4 linked regions of the Macaca fascicularis genome follow. The protein of the gene in region 3 interacts with the protein of the main gene of each other region in a pairwise test. Links are inferred from orthologs where the notes say so. Each region holds a gene or a part of one and is shown on either strand. Other genes may lie near its edges. The genes, in order: INCENP, PRR14, CBX5 and SUV39H1.

Region 1 (6,760 bases), on a different chromosome or scaffold from region 3:
GAAGGTTACTGTCAGTCACCCTCTCCAACAAGAGGGGAACAGGCCTCCATGGGGAGAAGCCAGTTCAGGGCCCACCTGGCCAGCTGCTGGGAAGCCCCTCCCACCTGCCGAGGCCCTCAGCTGGAGGCAGAAGCCCTCCTGGCTGTCACAAGTGTCCCTGTGTGACTGCAGAGGACTCTTCAGAAGGCTTGCAGGAACCAAAGGAATGAGGCGGCTGCGGCCTTGGCAAATGGCACGGGGAGCTGGGGCTGAGGGTTAAGCATGTCCCCATCCAAAGGTCCTTGCTCAGAAGCCAGCCTGGCTCAGCTCAGTTCTGAGGTGTCTGAGAAGAGAACAGCTTCTGCGACTTGTTTCTAGATGTTACCACTCACTGTTCTGCTGTCGCCCAGCACAGCCAGACCCGGCCTTCCACCTCAGCTCAGACCCACACTTGCCCTCCCCTGTCATCCCACTGCCTCAAGGCTACTGCTCAGGTCTGTGAACCAATAAATCTCAGTGGCTCTGGGGACCACAGACAACCTGTCTGTTCTCTTCACAGACCCACAGACCCTGAGGAGGCCTGGTGCTGGGGAGGAGGCAGGGAGGTGGCTGTGGGGAACACGTCAAGCTGTAGCCCTGGTGAAAAGCCGCACCCCCTCGCTTCCTCCTAGGAGCAGAGTCAAGGGCAGGGAGGGCAGAGAAAGATGCTGGGGCCCAGAACTGCTGGGCGCCTCCAGCCAGTGCACTCCTCACCGTCCCACTCTCTTCCTAAGGCTCCCCTCCCGCTTACGATGTTAGTGCATCTACAGGTGCTGTCAGCTACGCAGGGAAGGGGCTACAGCGGGTAAGTGCTAGGTGGGGCGGGTTACCGACAGGAAAAGGCTTTACTTACGACAAAGCTGCACTGTGGAGAGGAGACAAGGGAAAAGGTAAGAGTTAATGCCAGGCCGGGGGACGTCCTGCCAGGCAGGCCACATGCCCAGCTGTGCCAGCAAGCGTGTGTGGGGCCCGCCCTCCTGCCAGCAGCACCCCCAACGCCTCTCCTGTCACCCAACCCTCACCCCAACGGTGGAGGTGTCCACAAGTACTCCTCACCTTAACCACACAGATCTCCAGGGCTTACACTGAGCCGGCCGAGCCTCCAGGCTGCAGTCCAGAGCCCACAGGTCAAGTGCAGGACAGTGCCCCCAGAGGTCAAGACAGCTGGTGGCCACAGAGGCTTCAGCTGGCCCCTAACAGTGCCAGGCCACACCTGCCTCCGCCCAGGCTCACACTACTCCCAGTATCTTAGGGGACAGACTGGACCTTCAGCCACACTGCCTGGTTCCCACAAAGCCCGACCTGGGCACAGGCCCCTCACCTTGGGGTCCACGCGCAGGGGAGTGTTGCGCTTAATAAAGGACTTCATGACGCTGCGGGGGGCTGAGGTCGGGGTCATGAGCATCTGGTTCCTCTGCACCGTGTGCAGAAAGGTCCGGAGGGGCCGCACCACCTGCAGACGAGGACCAGGGTCAGGAGTGGGCAGGCGGGGCAGGGTACCGAAGGGGGTCAGGGTTCTAGGGCAGGGCAGACGCCTGGCTCACCTTGCTGGATGGGCAGGGTGAGGAAGGGGTCTTGCTCCTGGGGGGCTGCAGCTCCTCATCCTCCAGGTGCTGCTCCTCGTCCAGCTCACTCACCGCCTGCTTGTAGCTGCGCTTCCTCCTGCCACGGCGCAGGCGGCGGCATCACAGGGCTGCCCACCACAGCCCATCAAAAGTCACCCCGGTGAACAATTCCGGGCCCAGGCCACCGGCCTCTAGGCTGAAAGAGGCTGCAGAGCCTAACCAACCCTCTGCTGCCCACTCAGAGGAAGGGAGGTGAACAGTCCAAGGTCACATGGCCAGGAGACCGCCCTAAGACGGGGTCAACAATTGGTTCGCCCTATTCCCAGGCTGGCGCTCATCCACAGCATGGAGCCGCCTCCTTGGTTAAGTCTCAACACCAGGCCACACCCCAGCAGAGAGGCTCTGAAGCCCCCGAGCACAGATCCACCCTCCCTGAGCAAGGACACAAGGCCATGTCCTCCAGGGCCCTCAGAGGAACCCGCACACCCCTTCCCTGATGCAAACCTGGCACTCTGCGGTGGCTCTCTGGGTCCATCTGCTTGGTCTGTCTTGGCCTCTGTGAAAACAGCAATTTCAGCAAGGCTGCAGAAATGATGGCGGCGGCAGGGTAGGAATGGGGGCCTAGGGGGAAGGGGTCCCTGGGCAGCAGCCTTGGCAGTGAGCAAGGCTCCCTTCCTGGCAGCTCCGGGGTGGCCAAACGCAGACGTATCAGCCTTAACCCTGACTAGCCTTGAGGAATCTACAGATACCAGGGCCTGGCTACCCGCAGCTCATGAACCCCTCCCCGCCAGTGCCTGGCTCTATGGTAGGCAAGGCAGGGTGGGACGGTCCCGTCGAGGCGGCAGCCCCAGATGTGCCCCACCCACCTCTGACACTAAGAACAGTGTGTGGACACCTTGTAGAAGCAGGAGCTCTAAGCCCCTTGCACAGATTCTAAATCCCACCCCTCCTGGGCCATGCGGCTGGTGTGGCCATGACGGGAGGAGGGGGTGGCTCCGGCTGCAGGGTCAACATGCGGGGTGTAGGGTCAGTATGTTCGTTTCACTGCTAGGAGAAAGTGCACGTCACTCCAAAAGTTCCCCGCAGCAGCCCTGAGGGCCGTGAGGCTGGCATGACCATTGTCCCTGACCACGTCGCAAAGAGGAGGAGGCTATGTTCAAGATCTCATAGCTATAGTGCACTTCCCACCAGAGAGAAGCACCCTTCTCACCAGAGAGAAGCACCCTTCCCACCAGAGAGAAGCACCCTTCCCACCAGAGAGAAGCACCCTTCCCACCAGAGAGAAGCACCCTTCTCACCAGAGAGAAGCACCCTTCTCACCAGAGAGAAGCACCCTTCTCAGGGAGATGTGAGCAGGACCCTGGGACACGCCCAAACCCACTGTTCTCCAGCCCTCTTTAGACGGGGATGGACCGACAAAGGTCAGAAAGGAGCTGGCAGCAGAGGCAAAGCAGGAGGCCAGGTGCGTGTTCAATTCCCAGCCCACGGCTCTTCCCACTGGCCCCTGGAGTCGAGGTCAAGGCCTTGACCTGGCCTCTTCATATCCGTACCCCAATGCAGCCCCTTCCCCTGCTTCCTGTCCCAACCAGCCACAGCCCCCCATGCAGCACTCAGTGACAGCTCCAGCCCAACAGTGGGAGGTGAAACCTACAGACTCAAAAGGGATCTCTGCACCCCCAGGTTTAATTTCTCTTTAGCCTACTGGCCCAGAAATAGGGCTTCCTTATCCCCAGAGAGAAGGTCAGGCCGAGGCCACCAAGGCCCGCTGTGGCTCTGGGCACTAAAGGCGGCAGGTCAGGGAGCCTCACCTTGCTGCCCTGCAGAGGGCGTTTCCGGACTGCTGGCTGCAGGCTTCGGGTTGGGTGTGCTATTGCCAATCTCCGTGTCATTGCGGGGCCACGAGTTATTTCCGTTGTTCTCAGGGACCTGTGGAAAGAACCAAGGCTTTAGGGGTCTCGACCTGGAACCCAAGGCCCAGGATGGCCGCAGGGAAGAGCGGGAGCCCCAGAGGTGAGTCCTCCCTTCCCCAGGCAGCCGCCTTACCTCTGGCTCAGCTGCCGCTACCGGCTCAGCCTCCTCGGGGGACTCCTGCTCAGGACTGAAAACAGAAGAGGGGACTCTGTGGGGACTGCCCAGCTAGTCCAAGCCCTCCCCCATAGGGAATCCCTCTCCTACTCCAGGGATGGGGGACTCAAAATGTCAACACAAGGTGCCCTGGCCAGGGCCACCAACCCACAGCCCCTGCGGGATGGGAGGATGGCAGCTCCAAGCCATGGCTCCGTGGGCACACGAGGGATGTCAGCTTCAGAATGTGGCTTCATCTCCCAAGCACCCCACCACACAGCTGACACAGAGCCCTGTCCTCAGTTCCACCTCCACCTCTTGGACCCAGGTGAGCTGCATCTCTTTTGTGGTCTGTTCTCCATTCACCATGGGGCGGGCAAGGCCAGCAGGTCTGCCCAGTCACCCTGTTTCCCCATCCCAAGAACAAACCCTCTGCTCTGCAGGAAGGAGGGAGGGGCTGGTTTTAGTGATGGCAGGACACGGCCTCCAGGAAAAGGAGTCTGTGTCCCGGCCAGAAGCAGCACTGGGTGTAATCCTGGAGCACCACTATCCTACCCCAGCCAGTCTGAATGGCAGCTGGCAGCTCCGCCTCACCCCCAACCTCTGGAGCTCACACCCCAGGGTCAGGTCTGGCCAGGCAACCAGCAACACTGACGGGCGCTGCAAGGAGACCAGGCGACCAACACTCACGTCACTCACTGCCTGGTCAGACAGGGGAAACGGGCAGCCCCTGGGCAGTCAGGGATCAGTGGGGAAGGCTCAGCCCAGGAATTGCTTCCAGCCTTGGTGCTCACCTTGGCTCCCTGTCCTGGTGTGCCCTGCCCACTTGCAAAGCCCTGGAACTGAACTCACCCAACTTTCTCGGGCACCTCAACATTCAGAAGCCTCTCCAGGTAACTGTGACCTGAGGGGGAAAAGCAAGGCACAAAAGATGTCACCAGAAACCACTCGAAGGGGTCCAGGGGACCAGGTTCCAGCAAGGACCTGGCCACTGCTCCCATCACTAGCCCTGCCATGCCCAGGACCCTCCCCTCAGCACTCATCCTAGTGTCTTTATCGGAGTTCCTGGCTTCATGTCCCCTGCTGCTTCCCAGATGGTCTTCCCATGCCCATCTGGGCACAGCTGGGCATCCTCACTGGGCTGGGAATATCTTGAGAAGAGGGACAATGTCTGTTGCAGCTCCAGGCCCCAAACTCCCAGCATGGGGCCCAAGACAAAGCAGCTCATTCTGTTAACAAATATTCATCAAGTGCCTACAGTGTACTGGGACCTGAGCCAGGCCCCAGGGCCCCAACGGTGAGCAAAACAGAACCACTGTCTGGTCTAGATAACAATCATCAAATAGTCCCGTCAACAACACCAGCATGGCCAATGATGGAACACAGCACAGAAATTTTTTTTCTTTTTTTTGAGACGGAGTCTCTCTCTGCTGCCCAGACTGGTGTGCAGTGGAACCTCAGCTCACTGTAACCACCGCCTCCTGGGTTCAAGCGATTTCTGGCTAATTTTTGTATTTTTAGTAGAGACGGGCTTTCACCATGTTGGCCAGGCTGGTTTTGAACTCCTGACCTCAAGTAATCCACCCGCCTAGGCCTCCCAAAGTGCTGGGATTACAGGCATGAGCCACCGCGCCTGGTCCAGAGCAGAGAATTTTAAAAGCCTATGACAGGGGGACCTGAGCTGGTCAGGAGGAGTTTACAGACAAAGGAGGAGGATGTCCAGGCCAGTGGTTCTCAGCTTGCATTCTCTGATCCCTGGATGTCCTTGAGACCCTTGGGGGATCCACGAGGTCATAACTAATCATGATACTAAAATCATGATACTAAAATATTACTTTCCCCCTTTCACTGTGCTGACACTTGCCCTGAGGGCACAAAAGCAATGAGGAACAAGCTGCTGAAGCCTCAGCCCCAATTGAGGCCAGAGCATCAAACACTATCCTCGGACCACACACTCACAGGAAGGAGAGATGTCCAGTTTCACTGAGGAATGTCCTTGAGGAAGGTGTAAAAAGTACTAATTTTTTTTTTTTTTTTGGAGACAGACTCTCACTCTGTCACTCAGGCTGAATGCAGTGACTCAATCTCAGCTCACTGCAACCTCCACCTCCTGGGTTCAAGCGATTCTTGTGCCTCAGCCTCCCAATTAGCTGGAATTGCAGTCATGTACCACCACACCCAGCTAATTTTTTATATTTTTAGTAGAGACAGGGTTTCGCGATGTTGGCCAGGCTGGTCTCAAACTCATCCTCAAGTGAACCACCTGCCTCAGCCTCCCAAAGTGCTGGGATTACAGGCGTGAGTCACCGCGCCTGCAAAAGTCCTAATTTTACTAAATCTAAACTCAAGTACATGCCATTTCTACTCTCCTGTGTGCTGAGGTGGGAAGTGTGCCGAACGCCTGTTGCTGCAAACGCAACTCTCCGCGAAAAGCGCTCGTCTCTAAGCCGCCAGCTGCACTAGCCGCTTCTTCACCTGGAACACTATTATTATTTAAAAGAATGACTGACACACATTGGTTATTCAATCTTGGCTATCTGGAAGACATTTTCTCACAAGTCAATGAAGTGAATCCATCACAAAAATAAAACACCATGTGCTAACAATAATTTAAAAATTGAAACAAAAAGAATCCAAGAGTAGAATTTTGAAAAGCACGTATCCATCACCAGCAGGGCCACAGCATTCTAATACCTAAGGACTTTTCTGATGAGGTCAGAAAACAAATGTGCTTTTTTAGGATATTATACAATGAAGGGTGTCAACACTTGGAAGACGTGCATAACCTGGTGAAGCAATATTTTCCAAATGATCGATGTATGCGGTTATGAAATCACACATATCTAAAAGATCAAAGTGTGGCTGGGCATGGTGGCTCATGCTTGTAATCCCAGCACTCTGGGAAGCCGAGGCGGATGGATGATTTGAGATCAGGAGTTTGAGACCAGCCTGGCAACATGGTGAAACCCCGTCTCTACTAAAAAGACAAAAATTAGCCAGGCATCGGTGGGCGCCTGTAATCCCAGCTACTCGGGGGGCTGAGACAAGAGAATTTCTTGAACCGGGAGGCGGAGGTTGCAGTGAACCAAAATCATGCCACTACACTCCAGCAT
Region 2 (7,420 bases), on a different chromosome or scaffold from region 3:
CCCTGAGGGGAGACAAAGCTATACTTCAGGGGACATGAGCCTGCATCTGTGTGGCCAAGACGGATCAATGCCCAATGATCCCCTCACCTGATTGGTCGAGGCAGTCCCATTGGTGTAAGGTTTAGCTGAGGACGGGCTGGTGTTCTGCGTATTCTGAATCGAGAAACCTTTCCTATGGTCTGCAAAAATGGGGCAGAGGGTGAAAGAGTGACATGGGCTCAGGCCCCCACTAGTCTCTTCTACCCAATCTGAATGCCTACCTTGGTCTCAGGGTCTGAAAGCACCTGGTCCTTTGAGGCTCTTGGCTCCTTCCCTTTGGTTGAACCCAACCTGCCAAGAAGGTCAAGGCTCAGGGACAAACAGGATTCACTGCATTATCCCCCGTCTCCTGCCCACTGGATACTCAGGGAAGGAGGCTGGGACCAGGCTGCGGCTAGGCTTCGAGGGGGGTTTTTTGAGAGCACTACCTGGGTTCTGCTGGTTCGGAGAAGGAGGAAGTGGATGCCGTGGACGAGCAAGATGTGGCGAGAGAAGGGGAGGCTCCCATTCCTCCGAGAGGGAAGACCTCTTTCCGGAGACAGGGCCGAGGGGGTGGCGGGGCTCGGGCCATTTCCCCACCACCCACAGTGTGCCGCCGCGGCCGTGGCCGGCTTGGTTGGGGTGGAGCAGGTGGCCAGGTGCAGGTACCTGGGCCAGGGGGCCCCAGATCAGGGCAGGAGTAGCTTCGGCCCAGAGAGGGCTTAAGAAGAGGTGCTGGGGTATTGTGGTCCTGAGCCCGCCACTGGCGGATGGGGGGTCGGGGGCTGACAGACGCAGTGCCCTCAGCAGCCCCAGACTGCTCAGCCTCTGAGATGGCGATCTTCAACTCCAGCTTCATTGGGGGGGACGGGGGCGGGGGCTGTGGGGTTTTGTTGGGTGTGAGGAAGATGTCAGCAAAGCTCTCCAGCTTGGAGCGGACGGAACGGAAGAGCGGGGCCAAGCCCCAGGGACTGAGGCGGGGGCGTAAAAGGCTGGACGGTGGTGGGGTGGATGGGAGCTCCAGAGCAGGATCTGGGGCTGAGGAAAGGAGAGGTCACAGGTGGATATTCCTTGGCTGCAGTGTCTCAGCCCCTCCTCAGTAGCCTCAGCCCCTCCCTGCATGCTCAACTTTGTGCACAGAGGAATTAGCCCACCCCTAAAACAGTAAGTTCTGCATTTAAGAATTGAGCTTCAAGTCTCTGACATCATCATCCCATCTTCATATACCATGCCCTGCCCTGGGAGGGTAAGCCCTATCCCCACCTCTGTACCTGACACTTCCAAGCTCAACTAGGATGTTCTAGACCCCCAAGTCTCATCTGATCTCTACCCAAGTCCTTACCTGGTGGTGGGCTCTCTGGAGGGTCTGCAGGCAGAGCAGATGGCTGGAATGGGGGTTCTCGGTCCCCGGGTGGAGGTGTTGGCTGGTGAACTGTCTTCATGGGCTCAGCTCTGGGGTGAAGGGCAAAGTAAAGGCTAGGGGAACTTCCAGGTATCCCACCTGAGCCAGCAACTCCCCTATCCCTTAAGGCTTCTTCTTCTTCTTTTTTTTTTTTTTTTTTTTGAGACAGAGCTTTGCTCTGTGGCCCAGGCTGGAGTGCAGGGGCAGAATCTCAGCTCACTGCAGCCTTGAACTCCATCCCGGGCTCAGGCAATCCTCCCACCTCAGCCTCCCAAGTGGCTAGAACTACAGGCAAGGACCACCACATCCAACTAATTTAAAACAATATTTTGTCTGAGCTTGGTGGCTCACACCTGTAAATCCTAGCACTTTGGGAGACCAAGGCGGGTGGATCACCCAAGGTCAGGAGTTCAAGACCAGCCTGGCCAACATGGTGAAACCTCGTCTCTACTAAAAATACAAAAATTAGCCAGGCATGGTGGTGGATGCCTGTAATCCCAGCTACTGGGGAGGCTGAGGCAGGAGAATCACTTGAACCCAGGAGGCGGAGGTTGCAGTGAGCCGAGATCACACCATTGCACTCCAGCCTGGGCAACAGAGCAAAAACTCCGTCTCAAAAATAAACAAATAAATAAACAAAACAATGTTTTTGTAGAGATATGGCCTCACTGTGTTGCCCAGGCTGGCCTCAAACTTCTGGGCTCAAGCGATTCTCCTGCCTCGGCCTCCCAAAGTGCTGGCATTACAGGCGTGAGTGTGCCTGGCCCCTTAAGACTTTTTAAGATGTCACAAGGAAGGATTGGATCAATCAGTCCCGATGCCCCTAGCTCTGGCTACCTGGATGATGGCTGTTGCCTGGATCCTTTGAGAATCCCTACTCCAGCTCTCTCACCTTTGTGCTGGGATGATGAAGTTGGGGGTCTCATCAATGAAGCCCTGGATAAAAATAGGGGAATGTTTGTGGGGAGGCAGGGAAGCCTCCTTAGTGCCCCACATCCTGACTCTTTCAGTTCCCAGATACCTGCTTGGGTTCATGCCAAAGAGGTTTTTATATAGTCTTTGCTCAGGTAGTGCCTGCCACCTAAAATGCCACTCTCCTCACCCCAAGAAAAATCCACCTAAGACTCAGGCCTCCCACCCTTCTTCTATCCCTGCTGGAACCCAGTAGAACCCTTGATATCCATACCCTCAGTTCCCATACCTCAGCTGGGGGTCTAGGACTGGCAATGTCTTCCAGCATCACCACCAGGGTGGGCTGGGGGGCCTGGTCCACCTTTTGTGAAGGGCCCTCCTCTGGGCCAGGGGTTGTTCTTGATCGCCGCCTCAGGGTGGAAGAGGTCCGGTGGACGCGGCTCAAGGGCTCGCGACACAAACACAGAGGATCGGGAGGCCTAGGGAGGGAACGGGAAGATTAGAAGGGCTCAGCTGGGCCCTTGGTTTACCCCCATCCTGCCATGCTCACCTGGCCTTCGAGGACCACCCGGCCTGCCGGGGTGGCGAGGCAGGAGGCTGCATGTGGACAGGATCCTGACGGCTGTGGTGCTGTGGGATGGAGGTCTCCTTTGAGGGTACCACGGGGCCCTGGAAGAGAAAGAGGTGTCAAGAGCAAGGTGATGGAATGAGGCTGGATGGGACAAGGTCTCCCTGTGCCTAACAGTGCCCTGAGCCACAAACATAACAGAGATTAGGGCTAGAATTCACTCGGATCCCCAGAGAAGAGATGAATTGGACTGAATTAGGGGCCAGATATTAAGAGTCCTAAACTGCAGGTGTGGGACCTGGGTAATCTCACCCACGCTGTTTAGGGAAACAGACAGGGTGAGCTAGGGTGGGTCACTGCCTTTTTTGGGCCACAGTTTTTCTTATCTGTGCAGTGGAGTCAAAGACCTCAGCCTGCTTCCTAAGGAGGCTGGGCTGGGAAGAAAGCAGAAGAGTTTCAGCCCGGCGCCGTGGCTCACGCCTGTAATCCCAGTACTTTGGGAGGCAGAGATGGGAAGATCACTTGATGCCAGTTTGAGACCAGCTTGTGCAACATAGCAAGACCCTGTCTCTACAGAAAAAAAAAAAAAAAGATAGAAAAAAAAAAGATAGAAAAAAAAAAAAAAAAAAGAAGAAGAGTTTCTCAGAGTTACAGGGATGTGGTTCCATCCCAAAAAGGTTGGTGGGGGGAACGGGCACTGCCCAATTCTAGGTTGGAGTAAGTGGGAGCCAAGCAGGACTCTAGCATGAGGGAGGCTGCCTGAGGGATGGGTACAACAATGATGGATTTGGACTTCAGTTATCCTCAGTAGCGATCTGGCCCGAGTTTGGTAGTGAGGAAAGTCAGGGGAGAATAGAGGGTCTCTCGGTTCAGGGGGCTCACCATGTGAACAGCCATGATATCTTCCAGCACCACGGCCAGGACCCGCCGAGAGGCCTTTTCCAGGGGAGAAGGGGCCCCCGGGGGCTGCAGCCTCGGCCGTTTCGGGCTCCTGGCTCCCCATAATGCTCGAGTCAGAGGCTGGCGGCACAGACGCGCCTGGCTAGGCGGGCTGGAGGGTGAAAGAAGCAGAGGACGGTCGCCCGAACCTGTCGCCCGAACCTGTCGCTGGCTCTGTAGTTTCCCGGCACGGCCGCCAGGATCCCCATCTCCCGGGGTCAAGACAGGCGGGCCGGGTGCGCTCTCACCTGGGGTCCCCGGGCAAGTCCATGGGAGACGCGGCGGCTCCAGGGGGTCCCTGGGGAATCCCAGGCTGCGGCCTGGGGTAAGGGGGGAGCGGGGGAGCGGGGGGTGAGGGTTGGCCCCTTCCCTGGGGCTCCGCCCTTCATGGTCCGCCCGCGGCTCCCCGTAGCCCAGCGGCCGCAGCCCTGGGGCGCGAAAGGGCGCCCCCGGTCGGTCGCCCGGAGCGGGTGTCCTCCCGCTGCCACCGCCTCGATCAGCGGATCACTCGCGCCCTGCCTGGCACCTGCCGCCAGAACCCAGAATGCAGCGGCCCCAGTTCTCCCGCGGCCCGAGCCTCCTGAGGCCTTTGTCCCTGCAGATTGTGCCCCGGGATCCACGGGGATCCCGGTCCTGGGAGGCTATTTCCGCTGGATCCCTCTGTGATCCTCCTCCTCTCACAGCGAGTGGCCGAGGACTCCAAAGCAATACTCCACACATCGACGACCCTCCCTCCCACCAGATCCCCTAGACTGGATCCCTGAGGAAAGAATCCTACAGCGCGGTTCCGCCAATCAGACGCCGGGCGAGGCTTCTCCTTCCCCTGTGAGCTTCGGCGCCGCAAAGCTCCTATCAGACAGGGGCGGCCCGAGCTGGAGCATCTTCGAACTCAGCCTAGATCCCCAGGGATCCACTGTCAAGCAGATACCCCCTTCACGCCAATCCCGGGAGGTCCCGCCCACAAACGCCCCCTCCCTCCTTGCGTCCCCGCCCAGCGGTCTCCCCCGGCCCAAGACCAGATGGTTCAGAAGTTTCCTTCCCCGCCCCACCCCCGCCCTCTCCAGCCACTCCTTGCCCTCCCCAAAGCGTTGCTCACCGCCGCCTCCCGTGGATCCCGGGTCTTCCGCAGCTCCCACCTCCGGCTCCTTTAAAACCAAGCTTACCCAAGGCTGCCCAACCGCCGATGGCCTTCTTATCGGGGCCTCTGGACACCGCCCAATCGCCGGTCCCCGTCTTCCGGGGTGGTGAAAAACTAAGTGAAGCCACCTGGCGGCCATCATCCCTAGGGGCAGGAAGCCAAACTGAGTGGCGCCGCCATGATGGTTGAGGGCAGATGTCTTAGTCCTCGTTGAACCATGGTGGACTGGGTGGCGTCATCTTTTGAGGGCCACATACAATGCCAGGTTTCTTGATATGTTGAGGCAACCGATTGAAGCTAGAGTGCCGCCACGTTTTTTAAGGGCATCTTCCGGTTCTTTGGTTCTTAGACCAATAAACGTCGACTGAGTGCTAACGATATGAGAAATTCCCAATTTCCTAGAGTGGCCTCGTTTGAGGAAGTTTCCGGCACCTTCCTGCGTTCCTAAATTGGGTTCCCACAACCCAGGGTCCGATTTTAGGAGTGGGTGGCGGAGGCCCTGACTCCGAATATCCGGGATCAAAGACGGGCTGGTGCGGCCTGTGGCTCCGTTGCTGGCGCCTTGTCCTGGAGATATGGGGCCGAGCCGAAGTGGGGAGGAGACTGGGGGCGCTGAGCTTGACTTCCCCTGAGTATTGTCTACGGTACTTCTTTCCGGAGGAGTGGGGGTGCCCGCGGTCCGCGCAGAGGGCTACAGGACAGGGGCGTCTTTGCAGGAGGCCAAGAATATAGCTTGGCTTGCTCGTGGGGCCCGGCTCTCAGGAACCACTCTCTCAAAAGGGGCCTTCATGATGGGGGAGGTGTAAATAGTTCTGAGGAGTAAGGGATCAGGGTGAGACGCTGTTGCTTGGAGGAGCTGCGTCATGGACCGTTTACCGGGAGCTGGGCTATTGGTGGGGAGGAAGTGGGCATGTAGTGGCTTCTTGTAGCACTATGAAGGTGACCTGACCGCTTAACCAAAGCCCGTGTCTGTGCTAGTTCTCCTTCCCCAGATTCCCTGATCCAAACCAGTCCTCCTTTTCTTTTTTATTTATTTTATTTTATTTTTTATTTGAGGCAGGGTCTCGCCTTTTTGCCCAGGCTGGTCTTGAACACCTGGGCTCAAGTAGTCCTCCTGCCTCAGCGTCCCAAAGTGCTGGGATTACAGGCGTGAGCGCTCAGCCCCAGTCCTTATCTTGTTTTCTTAACAGAACGAGAGACCCTGAAGCCTAGAATCCTGGGTCCGAGATAAGGTGCAGAGGTGCTTCCTGGTCTAGGTGTCATAATTCTTTCTCAGGGGATTGAGTGAAGAAAGTGATAAAACAGGGCCGGGTGTGTGCTGGCTCACACCTGTTATCCCAGCACTTTGGGAGGCAGAGGATAGCGGATCACTTCAGGCCAGGAGTTCAAGACCAGCCTGGGCCACATGGCAAGACCCCATCTCTACAAAAACAAAAAACAAAAAATAAGCCGAGCGTGGTGGCGTAAGCCTGTAGTCCCAGCTACTCAGGAGGCTGAGGTGGGAGGCTCTCTTAAGCCTGGGAGCTCGCAGCTGCAGTGAGCTATGATCACGCCACTGCACTCTAGGCTGGGCGACAGGGACCCTGTCTCAAAACAGACAGACAAGGGATGATATGGAAAGAGCATAATCGGGAAATGGAAATGAAATGGAAAGAGCTTATGTGGGAAATGGAGGCTCCCCAGCTCTGTCCCTAAGGACTCAGGCAGGGAGACGTTCTTCCAGGACTACAGCATCTCTGGAACAGGAGATCCACTGGGCCCTCTGGAAACGCATTCAGAGTTCTGGTGGGAGCAGGCCATGGGTCTTCCACGTAGAGGCCTTCTCTCTCCCTCTGGATCAGGCCTGGCAGTCTGGTGCCTGAAGAGGTACAGTGATGTTTCATTCAGCTGTGAGTGCTTGGAGATTCTTCCAACCTTGCCAAATTAGGAGCTAAGCCCCACAAGTGCTTTTCAGGCCCCAGGGCAGGAAAAACCTTCAAAAGCAGAGCAGGCCTAACCTGAGTTTTTAGGTATTTTTTATTTGTTTGTTTTTGAGATTATCTGTCACCCAGGCTGGAGTACAGTGGCGCCATCTCAGCTTACTGCAACCTCCGCCAGGGTTCAAGTGATTCTCGTGCCTCAGCCTCCCAAGTACCTGAGACTACAGGCGCTAACCACCATGGCTGGCTAGTTTTTTGTATTTTAAGTAGAGACGGGGTTTCGCCATGTTGGCCAGGCTGGTCTCGAACTCCTGGCCTCAAGTGATCGGCCTGCCTTGGCCTCCCAAAGTGCTGAGATTACAGGCATGAACCACCACGCCGAACCCTAATCTGAGTTTTGATTCTCTAGGTCTCTTGAAGTCAGTGACACCAAGGGCAAAAGATGTAGTCCAAAGAAAAGCCCTGGACCTGAGTATTTGGTAGGAAGAGCCCACCAGTGTGACCCTAACTTGGAGTGCTAGAAT
Region 3 (6,760 bases):
CTCAAAAAAAGAGAAATCAAATTGAGAAGAACTACTTCCTTTTCATCTTAGCGCCATTCTCTCTCTATAGAATGAAATAACTTGTGCTTTGGCCAGTATTAGCTTTAATGCTTTTTGTTGAGATTATTTTTCTCTTTCAGACATTATTCAGCAGGTTTGGCCCTCAGGGATGGCAGAAAGCCTCATTTGATGTCTAGCCCAGGGTCACAGGCCCATAGTCTTACAGTATGTAATTCAGAACTGTGTAAACAAATGGTTAAGTCATGTTGTTTTTATATATATATATATATATATATATATATATATTTTTTTTTTTTTTTTTTTTTAAGAGACGGAGTCTCGCTCTGTCACTCAGGCGGGAGTGCAATGGCTAGATCTCAGCTCACTGCAACCTCCGCCTCCCAGGTTCAAGCAATTCTCCTTCCTCAGTCTCTCAAGTAGCTGGACTACAGGCATGCGCCACCACGTCCAGCTAATTTTTGTATTTTTAGTAGAGATGGGGGTTCACCACGTTAAGCAGGTTAGCCTCGAACTCCTGACCTCAAGCGATCCGCCTGCCTTGACCACCCAAAGTGTGGGGATTACAGGTGTGAGCCACTGCACCCAACCTTTACATATTTTCTACCTCAAAGTTACCTTTTTTTCTGATATGTAATCTAATATAATTTGGCTTAATAGCAAGCCATTCTGAAGCATAATTCCCATTTAACACCAATAATTGGTATCAGCAAGGATCTCTTGATATTCCAGGAGTTCAAGACCAGCCTGGCTAACACAGCAAAACCCCGTCTCTACTAAAAATACAAAAATGGGCCAGGCACAGTGGCTCATGCCTTAATCCCAGCACTTTGGGAGGCCAAGGCAGGCAGATTACCTGAGGTCGGGAGTTTGAGACCAGCCTGAACAACAAAGAGAAACCCTGTCTCTACTAAAAATATAAAATTAGCCAGGCATGGCAGTGCATAACCTGTAATCCCAACTACTTGGGAGTCTGAAGCAGGAGAATTGCTCGAACCCGGAGGTGGAGGTTGCGGTGAGCCAAGATTGCACCATTGCACTCCAGCCTGGGCAACAAGAGCAAGACTCTGCCTCAAAATTAATTAATTAATTTATTTATTTATTAAAATACAAAAATTAGCCAGGCATGATGGTGGGCGCCTCTAATCCCAGCTACTTGGGAGGCTGAGACAGGAGAATCACTTGAACCTGGGAGGCGGAGGTTGCAGTGAGCTGAGTGAGATTGCGCCACTGCACTCCAGCCTGGGCAACAAAGAGCGAAACACTGTTTTAAAAAAAAAAAATCTCTGACATTGAAAATTCATGGTTTGGGAATACACAATCTTGCCACCCTATCTTCCGCACAAATTCAAGTCACTGGCAAAGAAACACAATTGTAACATGAAGCCAAATCTCTCTCACCATTTCATTAGGAACATTAAATCACCACAGGAATCTGTTGCCCCAATGATCTTTTCTGGTTCCAGTCCTCTCTCAAAGCCCCGAGCGATATCATTGCTCTGCTATAAATAGAAGACGAAGAAAGGTTACAGCTTGTGGAAAGAGTAAAGAAACTCCCTGTTTCTAGGCTCAACAAAACACAACCTAAGTTAATATCTCCTGATATCATTTCTGTCACCAATTCAGAAAAATTTTTAGAACTTAATACTAAGTACTGACAGTGACAATGAAGTGACAGTGATGCCAAGAGATATTTTTGTAAGATGTGATTATCGGCCAGGCACGGTAGCTCAAGCCTGTAATCCCAGCACTTTGGGAGGCCGAGACGGGCAGATCACGAGGTCAGGAGATCGAAACCATCCTGGCTAACACAGTGAAACTCCGTCTCTACTAAAAAATACAAAAAACTAGCCGGGCGAGATGGCGGACGCCTGTAGTCCCAGCTACTCGGGAGGCTGAGGCAGGAGAATGGTGTGAACCCGGGAGGTGGAGCTTGCAGTGAGCTGAGATCCGGTCACTGCACTCCAGCCTGGGCGACATAGCAAGACTCCGTCTCAAAAAAAAAAAAGATGTGATTATCTTTCCTGGAATTCCTCCAGAAGATTAGAGGTGAACCCTAAAAGTCTCTAATGTCCTATAAGATATTCTGGAGTCAGCCAGGCACGGTGGCTCACGCTTGTAATCCCAGCACTTTGGGAGGCCGAGGCGGGCGGATCACAAGCTCAGGAGTTCAAAACCAGCCTGGCCAACACGGTGAAACCCCATCTCTACTAAAAATACAAAAACATAGCCAGGCGTGGTGGCAGGTGCCTGTAACCCCAATTACTCGAGAGACTAAGGCAGGAGAATTGCTTGAACCTGGGATGCGGAGATTGCAGTGAGCAGAGATCGCACCACAGAATTTCAGCCTAGGCAACACAGCAAGACTCCGTCTCAAAAAAAAAAAAGATACTCTGGAGTCAACATCTAGGAATTCCTCTAATCCCACTCACTTGGAATCTCCTTAATATTGTAAATAAGCTTCTGAAATGTTAAAGAATACCCTGTTTACCCTAACTATATCTTTTCATCTTATGAACTTCAAATATACTACCTCTCTCTCAATCTTTATTTTTTTAGACTTTTAGTTTACCTTAACACTAACCAATAATTTTAACACATTTCACAGTCGCCTATATTTATGAAAGAATAGAGGTAAGAATTATGCAAGGCCAATACTATTAAATAGCAAAATTTCAGAGATCACAAACACCAATACTTATATGCTTGGTTGGACAGAAGGCCCTGGGTCAATGCCTATCCCCTCTGGATGTAGATGATTGCTAGCATTAGAAGGCAGAACTGGACTGTGATTGAAAACAAAAACAAAAAAGAAAACAAAAACAAAAAACTGGCTTGGTGCAGTGACTCATGCCTGTAATCCCATCACTTTGGGAGGCTGAGACAGGAGGAGACTGGAAGTTGGAGACCAGCATAGGCAACTGTCTCTGTAAATTAGCTGGGCACAGTGGTGCACACCTGAAGTGTGCTACTCCAACTCAGGAGGCTGAGGCCCAGGGCCCAGGAGTTCGAGGCTGCAGTGAGCTATGATCATGCCACTGTGCTCCATGGTGGGCAACATAGTGAGAACCTGTCTCTTAAGACAGAAAGAAGAAAATTTGATAATTGATGAGATGAGTACTGAAACTTGGTCTAAATGCAGTAATACAATCTAGACAAGGAGCACAGGTTCTAATCCAGGTGTAATAATACTGATGAGAGCCAAAAAGCAAAATTTTATACAAGCCAGGTAATTTTTTTTTTTTTTTTTGAGACAGTCTCCCTCTGTTGCCCAGGCTAAAGTGCAGTGGCGCAATCTCGGCTCACTGCAGCCTCCGCCTGCCAGGTTCAAGTGATTCTCCTGCCTCAGCTTCCCGAGTAGTTGGGATTACAGGTGCATGCCACTGCACCTGGCTAATTTTTCCATTTTTAGTAGAGATGGGGGTCTCACCTTGTTGGCCAGGCTGGTCTCAAACTCCTGGCCTCAGGTGATCCATCCCACCTCGGCCTCCCAAAAGTGCTGAGATTACAGGCGGGAGCCATCACACCCAGTTACGCCTGACTAATTTTTGTATTTTCAACATGGTTTCACCATGTTGACCACACTGGTCTCGAACTCCTGGCCTCAAGTGACCCACATGCCTCAGCCTCCCAAAGTGCTGGGATTATAGGTGTGAGCCACCACACCCGGCCTAAACTAGAGAATTTTTAAAAACTTTATTATGGAAGATAATGTTAGCCTCTCCAGTGACAACACAAAAAAAAGATTTAGAGGTGCCCAAATGAACTAAATATCTACTGCCTGATTTTCATAATAAAATCTCTTTGATCTTATGTTCACTTGCTTTCCTCTGAGACATACAAAGCATGTGGGGTCCGGGTGGTCCCCAAAGATACCAAAATCCACAATTGGAAGGAAATTCCATGCATGGATCAATGAGAGATACTGACTTTTAAAAACATAGCCTCTTTTAGGGGCGCTTACGGGGAAGAAGTTCCCAGATGTTCACACAGCTGCTCACAGCTGGAATGCTGGCACATGGACTAAGTTGTAAATCATAACTGGCAACTGAAAATAGTTTGCTACATAGGGAGGGAAGGGGAGGCAAATGGAAGAAAAATGTTCAAGTTGCTGAAAAGGAGCCGGGGCGAAGAAAATGCTAAAATCATCATACAGGCAGTAATCTTAAATCAGGCATAATGCAAACTAACAAATTTCTTCTCCAGGGGTCTTAAAAAAGATACACAATCCCCTCCTGTACCTTTAAAACATACAATCACCTATCATCTCAGCTGTCTACCTGACAGCAGCCAGTACTGCTAAGAATGCTATCAGGGGCCCCAGATGAACATTATGATGTAAGGGACATGTGGGGGTTGTTTTCAAGGTTGGCAGCTTCAGAACCTGGCCTAAGAACAAAAATTCTCTGCACTGGCCAGTGCTTCTAAGCCAGATTATTCAGACAGCTCCTTTTTAAAAATGACAGAGGCCAGGCGTGGTGGCTCATGCCTGTAATCACAGCACTTTGGGAGGCCGAGGCAGTTGGATCACCAGGTCAGGAGATTGAGACCATTCTGGCTAACATGGTGAAACCCCGTCTCTACTAAAAATACAAAAAATTAGCCAGGTGTGGTGGCATGTGCCTGTAGTCCCAGCTACTAGGAAGGCTGAAGCAGGAGAATCGCTTGAACCCAGGAGGCAGAGGTTGCAGTGAGATCGTGCCACTGCACTCCAGGCTGGGTGACAAAGCAAGACTCTGTCTTAAAAAAAAAAAAAAAAATTCTAATTTTACTGGTCTGGGGTGCATCTTAGGCACTAGAAATTTTTTCAACGTACCCCCCAGGTGATTATAATGTGTAGACAGGGTTAGGAACTAATGTTCTAGAAAGGTATATATCTAATTACAATGAAGATAAATAGGGATGATTGTGGCTGCTACTCTGGAAGGCTGGAAGATTCCGAAGTAGACTTATGCTTTTATTAAATGTAAAGTGTATGATACATCCTTCACCACAAAAGGCTTCATAACCTTGAAATAAATGAAAGGAGTGGAAGCTGGGGGCGGGAGGAGATGGAAGAGTGTGTGTATTTATGCGCCCACACACAGATGAAAAAAGAGAGAGGCAATAACAGTGCTTATTCTACTTACTTGAGAGCTAAAAATCAGAAGGATTAAAGCAACTAAATCAAACCAAAATTTCATACACTTCCCAAACTGAAGAAGATTCAAAAGACAAAAATTAATTTTGTACGTCAAGTATGTAGAACTAATAGATCGAGAGAATATAAATGCCACTGAACTGTACACTTTAAAATTGTTAATTGAGCCAGGCGCAGTGGCTCACACCTGTAATCCCAGCACTTTGGGAGGCCAAGGCAGGTGGATCACCTGAGTTCCGGAGTTCAAGACCAGCCTGACCAACGTGGAGAAACACTCTCTCTACTAAAAATACAAAACTAGGCCGGGCGCGGTGGCTCAAGCCTGTAATCCCAGCACTTTGGGAGGCCGAGACGGGCGGATCACGAGGTCAGGAGATCGAGACCATCCTGGCTGACACGGTGAAACCCCGTCTCTACTAAAAAATACAAAAATAAAACTAGCCGGGCGAGGTGGCGGGCGCCTGTAGTCCCAGCTACTCGGAGGCTGAGGCAGGAGAATGGCGTGAACCCGGGAGGCGGAGCTTGCAATGAGCCAAGATCACGCCACTGCACTCCAGCCTGGGCAGCAGAGCGAGACTGTCTCAAAAAAAAAAAAAAAAAAAATACAAAACTAGCTAGGCATGGTGGTGCATGCCTGTAATCCCAGCTACTCTGGAAGGCTGAGGTAGGAGAATCACTTGAACCCAGGAGACGGAGGGTGCAGTGAGCCAAGATCATGCCATTGAACTCCAGCCTGGGCAACAAGAGTGAAACTCCATCTCAAAAAAATAAATAAATAAAAAATAAAAATAAAAATACAAAAATTAGTTGGCTGCGGTGGTACATGCCTGTAATTCCAACTACTCAGGAGGCTGAGACAGGAGAATTGCTTGAACCCAGGAGGTGAAGGTTGCAGTAAGCTGGGATCATGCCCCTGCACTCCAGCCTGGGTGACAGAGCAAGACTCTATCTCAAAAATAAATAAATAAAAATAAATAAAATATTTAATTGTATATTATATGATTTTCACTGCAAAAAAAGATTATCAACGATTGAAAGCAAATGCTATCACTGGAACAAAAAAAAGGGCCGGGTGCAGTGGCTCACGGCTATAATCCCAGCACTTTGGGAGGACAAGGCGGGTGGCTCACAAGGTCAGGGGTTTGAGACCAGCCCAGCCAAGATGGTGAAACCCTGTCTCTACTAAAGATACAAAACATTAGCCAGGCATGGTGGCGTGTGCCTGTAATCTCACCTACTTGGGAGGCTGAGGCAGGAGAATCACTTGAACCCAGGAGGTGGAGATTCCAGTGAGCCAAGATCATACTATTGCACTCTAGCCTGGGTGACAGAGAGATACTCTGTCTCCAAAAAAAAAGAAAAAAGAAAAAAGGAAGTGACATGGTAAACATTTCAAAGCCCCGGCCAGGCATGGTGGCTCATGTCTGTAATCTCAACACTTTCGGAGCCCGAGGCAGGCAGATCACGAAGTCAGGAGTTCAAGACTAGCCTGACCAACATGGTGAAACCCTGTCTCTACTAAAAATACAAAAATCAGCCGGGCGTGGTGGCGTGCGCCTATAATCTCAGCTACTACTGAGGCAGGAGAATCGCTTGAAGCCA
Region 4 (7,422 bases), on a different chromosome or scaffold from region 3:
ATCGGATGCCTTTCTGTACCACGCGATTCGGGCAGTCATAGCCACAGCGGCAGCGGGAGTTGCACTCGTAGATGGGCAGCCCGGCTCGAAGCCGCACCTGGCCCTGGTCATTGTAGGCAAACTTGTGCAGTGATGCCCCCGGGCAGCAGCCTCCAGTGGGTGCCCACAGACAGTCCTGGCACTCGCAGCCCACAGCCACCTGGTTGAGGGTGATGCCCTCACCAACACGGTACTCATTGATGTACACGAAGGCCCGCGGGGGGCCGTCCAGGTCCACCTCATTCTCTACAGTGATGCGTCCCAGATGGCTGCGCTTGGCATTGAGCTCCTGCTCCCAGCGACGGAGCGCCCGCCTCTGCTTGGCCTTCTGCACCAGGTAGTTGGCCAAGCTTGGGTCCAGGTGCCGGGGGGTCTTTGACCGGTGGTGCCGCCGGAGCAGCTCCCTCTCTAAGTCCTTGTGGAACTGCTTGAGAATACGCACACACTTGAGATTCTGCCGTGGCTCCCAGGTGCTCTCTGAGTCTGGATATCCGCGCCATTTCACCAGGTAATATTCCTGTTCCTGTTGGGGGTGGGTAGGGGAACGGTGGTACCATAAGTGGTGAGATCTTTGGGCCAGCCTTCATGGGGCTTCCATGCCAAAGCTGATGGATAACACCTAACCCACCCCACCCCTTTTCTGGAATGACTTCATGCGGTGGTTAAAAAGCATGGGCTCTAGCGTGAGGATTACCAGGTTCAAATCCTGCTCTCCCCCTTACTGTCTGTCCAGACTGTTCCAACTTTTAATTAATCTCCCAAACCCACTCCCCTCCTTGGTCTTCCCCATCATCAGCTCCCTCCTTCTAGCTGTTCAGACCGGAACTCCTGGAGTCATCCTTGAATCCTCTTTTGTTCACACTTCCGACATCCACCCTCCGCACATCCCGTTAGCCCCACCTTCAAAATACATCCAGTGACAAACCATCATCACTGCCACCACTATGGCTCACCTGGACCCTGACAAGTCCTTGCCTGTTTTAGGCAGCTTACATGTATTATTAACTAACTTAATCCTCACAACCCGACATGAGGTGGATGCTCCTAGTCATCCCCCTTTTATGACAAAGGAAATGAAGTACTGAGGGTTTGGGTAGGTAAACACACCAGGACTGGAACCCAAGCATGCTGACTCCAGTTTGTTCTCCTAACCATCCTGCCACTCCCCCTTCTGGCAATAACTGTCCCCATTTCACAGTTGTTAGGGGATTAAATGAGTTTCCTAGAGGAAGCACCTGGCACACTGAAAGTGCTCAATAGCCGTTAGCTGTTGACATTTCCACTCTAGGGTTCAGCATCTCAACCTTTGCAGTTACTTTGTATTCCTAGGGAGATGGGAAGAGAATTCATTCCGGCTCCTGCCCCCATCAGAAAGCTACTTAGTTTCCCTATCTGTAACATAGGGATAAAAGGGTCTGTTCATCCTATTTTTCCAGGGTCAGAGGAGAAAATTCCCTTTGCAAACAGATGTGGGCAGTTGGGGACAAGAGGGCAGGACACTTAACTTCCTTGTGACCTGTCCCCTCCCAGAGCATGGTCACCCCAGACTCACGCGGATCTTCTTGTAATCGCACAGGTACTCGACTTCAAAGTCATAGAGGTTCCTCTTAGAGATACCGAGGGCAGGGCAGGAGAGCTTGGCCAGGCGGCACAGGTCCTGCAGCTGATTCCAAGAAGACTTGCAACACACGCTGCAGCCTGGATCAAGCAGGGCAGAAAGAACTATTACTGGGCAGTCTGACAAGGCCAGGTGTCAAAGGGGACCCCAAATCCTCCCTGGGACATCCCAAAGACTGCCTAAGAGTCAGGGAACTTTAATCCACAGGCCTTCCCCAATGCTGAGACTGTTCTACAACAGAAATGTGCTTTGAACCCCAATGCTCACTGCCCAAGGCTGCCCCTGGAGCAGCAGACCTCTGAGGGGGGTTTGCAACATGAATCGTCCTAAAGGAATCTATTTCCAGAGCTTCAAACTCCATGTCATTCCTAATACTGCCTGCAAACCTGCTTTGGGTTCAGGACCTGACTACCTTTCTCTCCACTTTGCAAAAGAAAGAGAACAACCCCCCATCTCAGTAGGATGCAATGCCCCGAGGTGTTGGGGGCGGTGGGCGCGGATGGGAGGACAAGATTAAAACCTCCAGGGCACCAAACAAAGGCTAACTGGAAAGACTGGTCTTTAATCCCTTATCTCAAACTCCTGGGCCAGATGTGGTTTGGAATTCAAAATTTTTTGGATTTTACAAGACTAGTTCTAGGATACATCACCTAACACCCCCAACGTGGCCACGGGACATCAAGCTATAATCAAATGCATTAACTGTCCTGCAGCAAAAGTATGAATTTCCCACATTAAAGAGGAGAAATAGAGATATAAAATAGCCTCACAGAATAGTTCCACTTTATAATCTACTTTTGCCATAAATGGTGCCAAATTTAAGAAAAGGATTTCAGTTTTCAGGGCTTTTTAGATTTCGGAATGATGAGCAAGAGATTGTGGAATGATACTACATTACAGGAAGGCTCCTTAAATGATCAATCTGGGTGCCTTAAATCCACAAGGTATATTTTTTCACACTACATTTTGACTTTCTGTCTCATCCATCTTTCTGTGAAGAGTAAAGCTCATCCAAAGGGTTATGCTCTGAATTTATATGCAAAGCAGTACAGATTAGTGACACTGATTCTTTTAAATATACCTGGTATATTTCTGGGGCTGCCAAAATTTTGTAAGACAGAGATTTTAAAAAATAGATTTCTTTCTGATTCAAGGCACATTCTTAATCAATGTGCTTTAGAAGCCATTTTATCAAATCACGTCTCAAAACATTCCAAGGGCAGTCAGTCCTCATCCTACTTCATCTTTTTAAAATGTTTAATATTTTCTGCCTCCCATTGCAAAAATCACACTTAAACTCTAGATGTCAACCTAAAAACGTACAAGAGCTTTTCAAAATTATTTCGTGTGCAAGCCATACCCCCCCCACTTAGGCAAGATCAAGTGGAGACCGAGCCCGCATGTGCCCACGCTTTCCTCTCCTGGCAAACCCCTTCCTTCACTTGCATTCGAAACCCCACTTAAGTGGTCCCAACTAATACCTCCAGCTGCTGGCTCCGGAACTGGCCACAGGTGGACTCTCCTGAACCCCTCAGAGGTCCCCCAACTTGTGGAACCCGTCCTCCCTGCGGCTTTTGTCACATAGAGGGGCCCCCCAACATAACTGAGTCACCCCTCTTTCCCTGCACATGGGGGAGTCCAGCTGTCCTACTAGGAAGGCCCCATTTCCCTCTTCTGGGGGATCCTCTATTCCAAACCCTTCCCCCATCACGCCGAGAGGCGATACGTTCCCCCTGAAGAGTTCCCTGTCCCCGCACTCTGAAGGGGGGGTCTGTCCCCCTTATCTTCCCTCCCCTTCCGGCGTCTCGCGTGGACACCGAATGGGTAACGGTCACCGGGGGCCGATTTTCCCGCGCGCGGGCGCGGCCTCCCCGACAAGCCCCCGCGCGTGCGCGCGCTGGTCCGGTCGCGATCTGCGGCGCGCGCCCCCCTCCTGCGTCCCCACTTAGCCCCAGGCCCGCTGCGTTCCGAGGTACGCGCCCCCTCCCCTCAGCCCCGCCCAGCCCCGCGCACCAGGCCCGCGCTCCCCGAGCTCCATCCTTTCCGCGCCGAGCTTCCGGCTCCCGGCGCCGGGGCCTCAGACGCCGGGGTCCCGAGCCGGCGACGCCACCCCTCCAGCCCACCCGGCCCGGCCAGCGGGCCCGCGCCTCTGTCTCCACTGCTTCACCTTTTAAATTTTCCGCCATCTTTCCCCACGGCTAACGACATTCGGGCCTAGCCGGCCTCGCGAGAAGAGAGCTCGCGCGGGCGTGGCCGGGAACGCGCAGCCTATTGGCCGCGGCTCGCGACTCGCAGCACCCGCGCGGACCAACCGGAGAGCCGTGACCGAACCCCTCCCTGCCGCCCGGCTCGGTCCCGGAGGCGGGTGCTCGCCGCACTTTCCCAGAGTGCGTCTGGGCGGCGGCGGCAGCGGGAGCGACAGTGGCGGTAGCTAAAGTTGCCCGAGGCCCTGCCCGTGCGCTGGTCTGTCTGTCACACTGCTAGCCAATCACCTTATCAGCCAGTCACAGTGGCTCCTGAGTTCTGTCATACTCCCTATTATCACCGTCAGTCAGCCCGTCATCACATTTTAACCCCAAGTAGGCCGGGGCTCCCAGGTGGACTAGCGCCCCATCCAACCGCTCAGGCGGTCGCACCAGACAGATGCCTAATCAGACCCCCGGCCCCCATCCACACTGCCGGGCAGTCAATACCGGTTTCCATTTGTGCCCCCGGGCCAGCGGCGACTCCCTGGAGGCAGGCAGACAGCACTGTTAGCCAGCCAGCCTTATCATTCCCTATGACCGTCCTGTCCTCAATTAGTCCTCCTCTCCACCCACCATAGCCCTGGGACCAGCTGCGATTCTCTCTGGCTAAATCCTCTCATAGACTGCAGCATCCAGCCATGCCCCCAGGCGGGCTGTGATTAGGTCGGGGCAAGCTGTCATTGTCAGCATCTAATACAGCCCTGTCGGACACTATCAGTTGATCACTGTCTTTCCCTCAGATTACTTCTCATTCACACCATGATCAGTCACAACACCCAGCTAGGCCCTCAAAGCAAATAGTCACAGCAACTAGAGGTAGGATTAAGCCTCCACACCACCTGTCAGTGGGTCAGCCAGTCTGTCATTTCTCAGGCGACTCATCCCCACCATTGGTCAATCAGTCTCCTCGGATGCGTTGAAGCTGAGATTCTATCAGAGCAGACAGTCCGTAACCACGTACAGCCATCGAGTCAGACGGTTATGCTGATTTTGCTGCTGGCCAGCTGGCCTGTGACTCGTTCAATCCGCCCCTCATCACATCGTCAGTCATTCTCAGCATCCGACTGACCGCACCGTCTGTCAGGTGATCAGTCAGTCAGAGCACCCAGCCAGGCCCTCCAGCATGCTGTGATTCGAGCAGCGTGGACAGTTGATTACCAGATACAGCTGCCTAGCAAGCAGCCACGGATCTGTTGATCAGTCAGCCTGAGGTTTCCCCAGGTGGCCCTCCTTTACACAGTGCCAGACAGTATAACATCTAGACATTCCCCCAGGCCAGCTGTGATTCCTGACAATAGTCATTCACAACATCTGGCCACCCAGGCAGGCAGTAGCACCACGGACCATCAGTTAGTCAGCCTGCAAGGTCCTCAGGAGGCTGCCTGTCTTTTCCACTGTCAGGCTACCAGCCCCAGCCAGTCCTAGGCAGGCTGTCATTCAGTTAGATGTTCAGGAAACCGCGCTGTCACTTCCTCAAATTGCCCCCTCTCCCTGTCACTCCATGAGTTCTGTAGTCAACCAAACGGTTATACAGTTAACCAAACAGATATTCTGTCTGCCTGCTAGTCCAGCTGTGAGCTCATTAAGAAGTGACTGGCTGGTCTGAGGTTCCGTCAGCCCTAGCTTGCCCTGAGTGGGACAGACAGGAACAGAAGTCCCACCATGCATCCCCTTCCCTCCCTTATTCCTTCTCGAGCAGAATCAGATTTTCGTCCTCATGTACCCCCAGTCTCCTCGGGCAGCAGGACTCTCCCACTCCTGGGTGTCCAGGAGACCTGTCCAACCCACAAGAGTGATTTAAGACAGGACCTCTGCCTGTCTGGATCTGAGGGGGAGACAAAAGGGTCTGTGGCCGGTGGTGCCCCAAACCACTATAAAGTAGTGGGCAAAAGCCTGGATTCTGGAGCCTGACTACCTGGACTCATATCCAGGCTCTGCCATTTACTAAATTACTTGTCCTTAGGCAGTTTCTTTTTTTTTTTTTTTTTTTTTTTTTGAGACGGAGTCTCGCTCTGTCGCCCAGGCTGGAGTGCAGTGGCGCGATCTCGGCTCACTGCAAGCTCCGCCTCCCGGGTTCACGCCATTCTCCTGCCTCAGCCTCCCGAGTAGCTGGGACTACAGGCGCCCACAACCGCGCCCGGCTAATTTTTTGTATTTTTAGTAGAGACGGGGTTTCACCGTGGTCTCGATCTCCTGACCTTGTGATCCGCCCGCCTCGGCCTCCCAAAGTGCTGGGATTACAGGCGTGAGCCACCGCGCCCGGCTGTTTCTTAAACTGGTCTGTAAAACCTCGAGTAAGTGACCTTGGGGTGGGTGTCTCCTGCTCATCTGGAAAGTGAATCATTCTGGACTAGCACTTTTTCAGGAAACCTCAAAAGTTAAGAGGCCATCTCAGAGCTACCGTGTCCCACCTCCAGCCATTTGTCTGTTCATTCAGCATTAAATTAATGGCTACTGCGTTGCCCTATGCTGGGGCCAATATAAGGTTTTATTCATTTCAGGCTTCACAGGTTTGACCTGTTGTAATGTAAACCTCAGATTGGAGTGTAACACAAATACAGATGGGTACATAGACCAGGGGTGAACACTGTAATGAGTTTTCTTTTTCTTTTTTTTTTTTTTTTTTTTGAGACAGAGTTTTGCTCTTTTTGCCCAGGCTGGAGTGTAATGGTGCGATCTCGGCTCACCACAACCTCCGCCTCCCGGGTTCAAGCGATTCTCCTGCCTCAGCCTCCCGAGTAGCTGGGATTACAGGCATGTGCCACCACCCTGGCTAATTTTGTATTTTTAGTAGAGACGGGGTTTCTCCATGTTGGTCAGGCTGGTCTTGAACTCCCGACCTCAGGTGATCCACCTGCCTCGGCCTCCCAAAGTGCTGGGATTACAAGTGTGAGCCACCGCGCCCAGCTGTAATGAGTTTTCACAAGCAGACCTACATGTGGAACCAGAATGCAGGCTGAGCAACCATTTAGCCAGATCTCAGAAGCATTTAATTGTTTTGTATAAATCTATTGGGTACAAGTGTAATTTTTTTTTGTTTGTTTGAGACAGAGTCTCACTCTGTCGCCCAGGCTGGAGTGCAGTGGCGTGATCTTGGCTCACTGCAACCTCTGCCTCCCAGGTCAAGCGATTTTCCTGCCTCTGCCTCCTGAGTAGGTGGGATTACAGGCGTGTGCCACCATACCTGGCTAATTTTTGTATTTTTAGTAGAGATGATGGGGTTTCACCACGTTGGCCAGGCTGGTCTCAAACTCCTGGCCTCCAGTGATTCACCTGCCTCAGTCTCCCAAAGTGCTGTGATTACAGGCGTAAGCCACTATGCCAGGTCACAAGTGTAATTTTGTTACACAGATATTTTGTGTAGTGGTGAAGTCAGGCATTTTACTGTATCCATCATCTGAATAATGTACATTGGCCTCCCAAAGTGCTGGGATTACAGGCATGAGCCACAGCGCCTGGCCACAAGTGTAATTTTTTTACATGGATACATTGTGTAGTGGTGAAGTCAGGCATTTTACT

What was found.
Region 1: the proteins of CBX5 (region 3) and INCENP interact in binary tests that used the Homo sapiens proteins (3 or more experiments, as listed by UniProt). The link is inferred for Macaca fascicularis from reciprocal best matches to the Homo sapiens genes CBX5 and INCENP.
Region 2: the proteins of CBX5 (region 3) and PRR14 interact in binary tests that used the Homo sapiens proteins (3 or more experiments, as listed by UniProt). The two-hybrid records come from large-scale screens. The link is inferred for Macaca fascicularis from reciprocal best matches to the Homo sapiens genes CBX5 and PRR14.
Region 4: the proteins of CBX5 (region 3) and SUV39H1 interact in binary tests that used the Homo sapiens proteins (3 or more experiments, as listed by UniProt). The link is inferred for Macaca fascicularis from reciprocal best matches to the Homo sapiens genes CBX5 and SUV39H1.

The regions. Positions count from the first base shown.
Region 1 is NC_088388.1:11,875,878-11,882,637, forward strand, and holds part of INCENP (inner centromere protein), read right to left. Parts: intron 4,552-6,760; coding exon 4,500-4,551; intron 3,682-4,499; coding exon 3,627-3,681; intron 3,510-3,626; coding exon 3,392-3,509; intron 2,140-3,391; coding exon 2,088-2,139; intron 1,681-2,087; coding exon 1,563-1,680; intron 1,472-1,562; coding exon 1,340-1,471; intron 884-1,339; coding exon 872-883; intron 1-871. UniProt on the Homo sapiens protein: Component of the chromosomal passenger complex (CPC), a complex that acts as a key regulator of mitosis.
Region 2 is NC_088394.1:28,810,917-28,818,336, reverse strand, and holds the start of PRR14 (proline-rich protein 14), read right to left. Parts: upstream 4,965-7,420; 5' UTR 4,618-4,964; intron 4,160-4,617; 5' UTR 4,111-4,159; coding exon 4,088-4,110; intron 3,952-4,087; coding exon 3,783-3,951; intron 3,471-3,782; exon of another isoform or gene 3,308-3,470; intron 3,002-3,307; coding exon 2,883-3,001; intron 2,812-2,882; coding exon 2,622-2,811; intron 2,357-2,621; coding exon 2,313-2,356; intron 1,471-2,312; coding exon 1,361-1,470; intron 1,057-1,360; coding exon 468-1,056; intron 331-467; coding exon 261-330; intron 180-260; coding exon 88-179; intron 1-87. UniProt on the Homo sapiens protein: Functions in tethering peripheral heterochromatin to the nuclear lamina during interphase, possibly through the interaction with heterochromatin protein CBX5/HP1 alpha. Might play a role in reattaching heterochromatin to the nuclear lamina at mitotic exit.
Region 3 is NC_088385.1:61,087,115-61,093,874, forward strand, and holds part of CBX5 (chromobox protein homolog 5), read right to left. Parts: intron 1,521-6,760; coding exon 1,420-1,520; intron 1-1,419. UniProt on the Homo sapiens protein: Component of heterochromatin that recognizes and binds histone H3 tails methylated at 'Lys-9' (H3K9me), leading to epigenetic repression. In contrast, it is excluded from chromatin when 'Tyr-41' of histone H3 is phosphorylated (H3Y41ph).
Region 4 is NC_088395.1:48,850,109-48,857,530, reverse strand, and holds the start of SUV39H1 (histone-lysine N-methyltransferase SUV39H1), read right to left. Parts: upstream 4,959-7,422; 5' UTR 4,795-4,958; coding exon 4,743-4,794; intron 3,868-4,742; exon of another isoform or gene 3,844-3,867; coding exon of another isoform or gene 3,825-3,843; exon of another isoform or gene 3,696-3,824; coding exon of another isoform or gene 3,671-3,695; intron 2,197-3,670; exon of another isoform or gene 1,738-2,196; coding exon 1,592-1,737; exon of another isoform or gene 563-1,591; coding exon 1-562. UniProt on the Homo sapiens protein: Histone methyltransferase that specifically trimethylates 'Lys-9' of histone H3 using monomethylated H3 'Lys-9' as substrate. Also weakly methylates histone H1 (in vitro).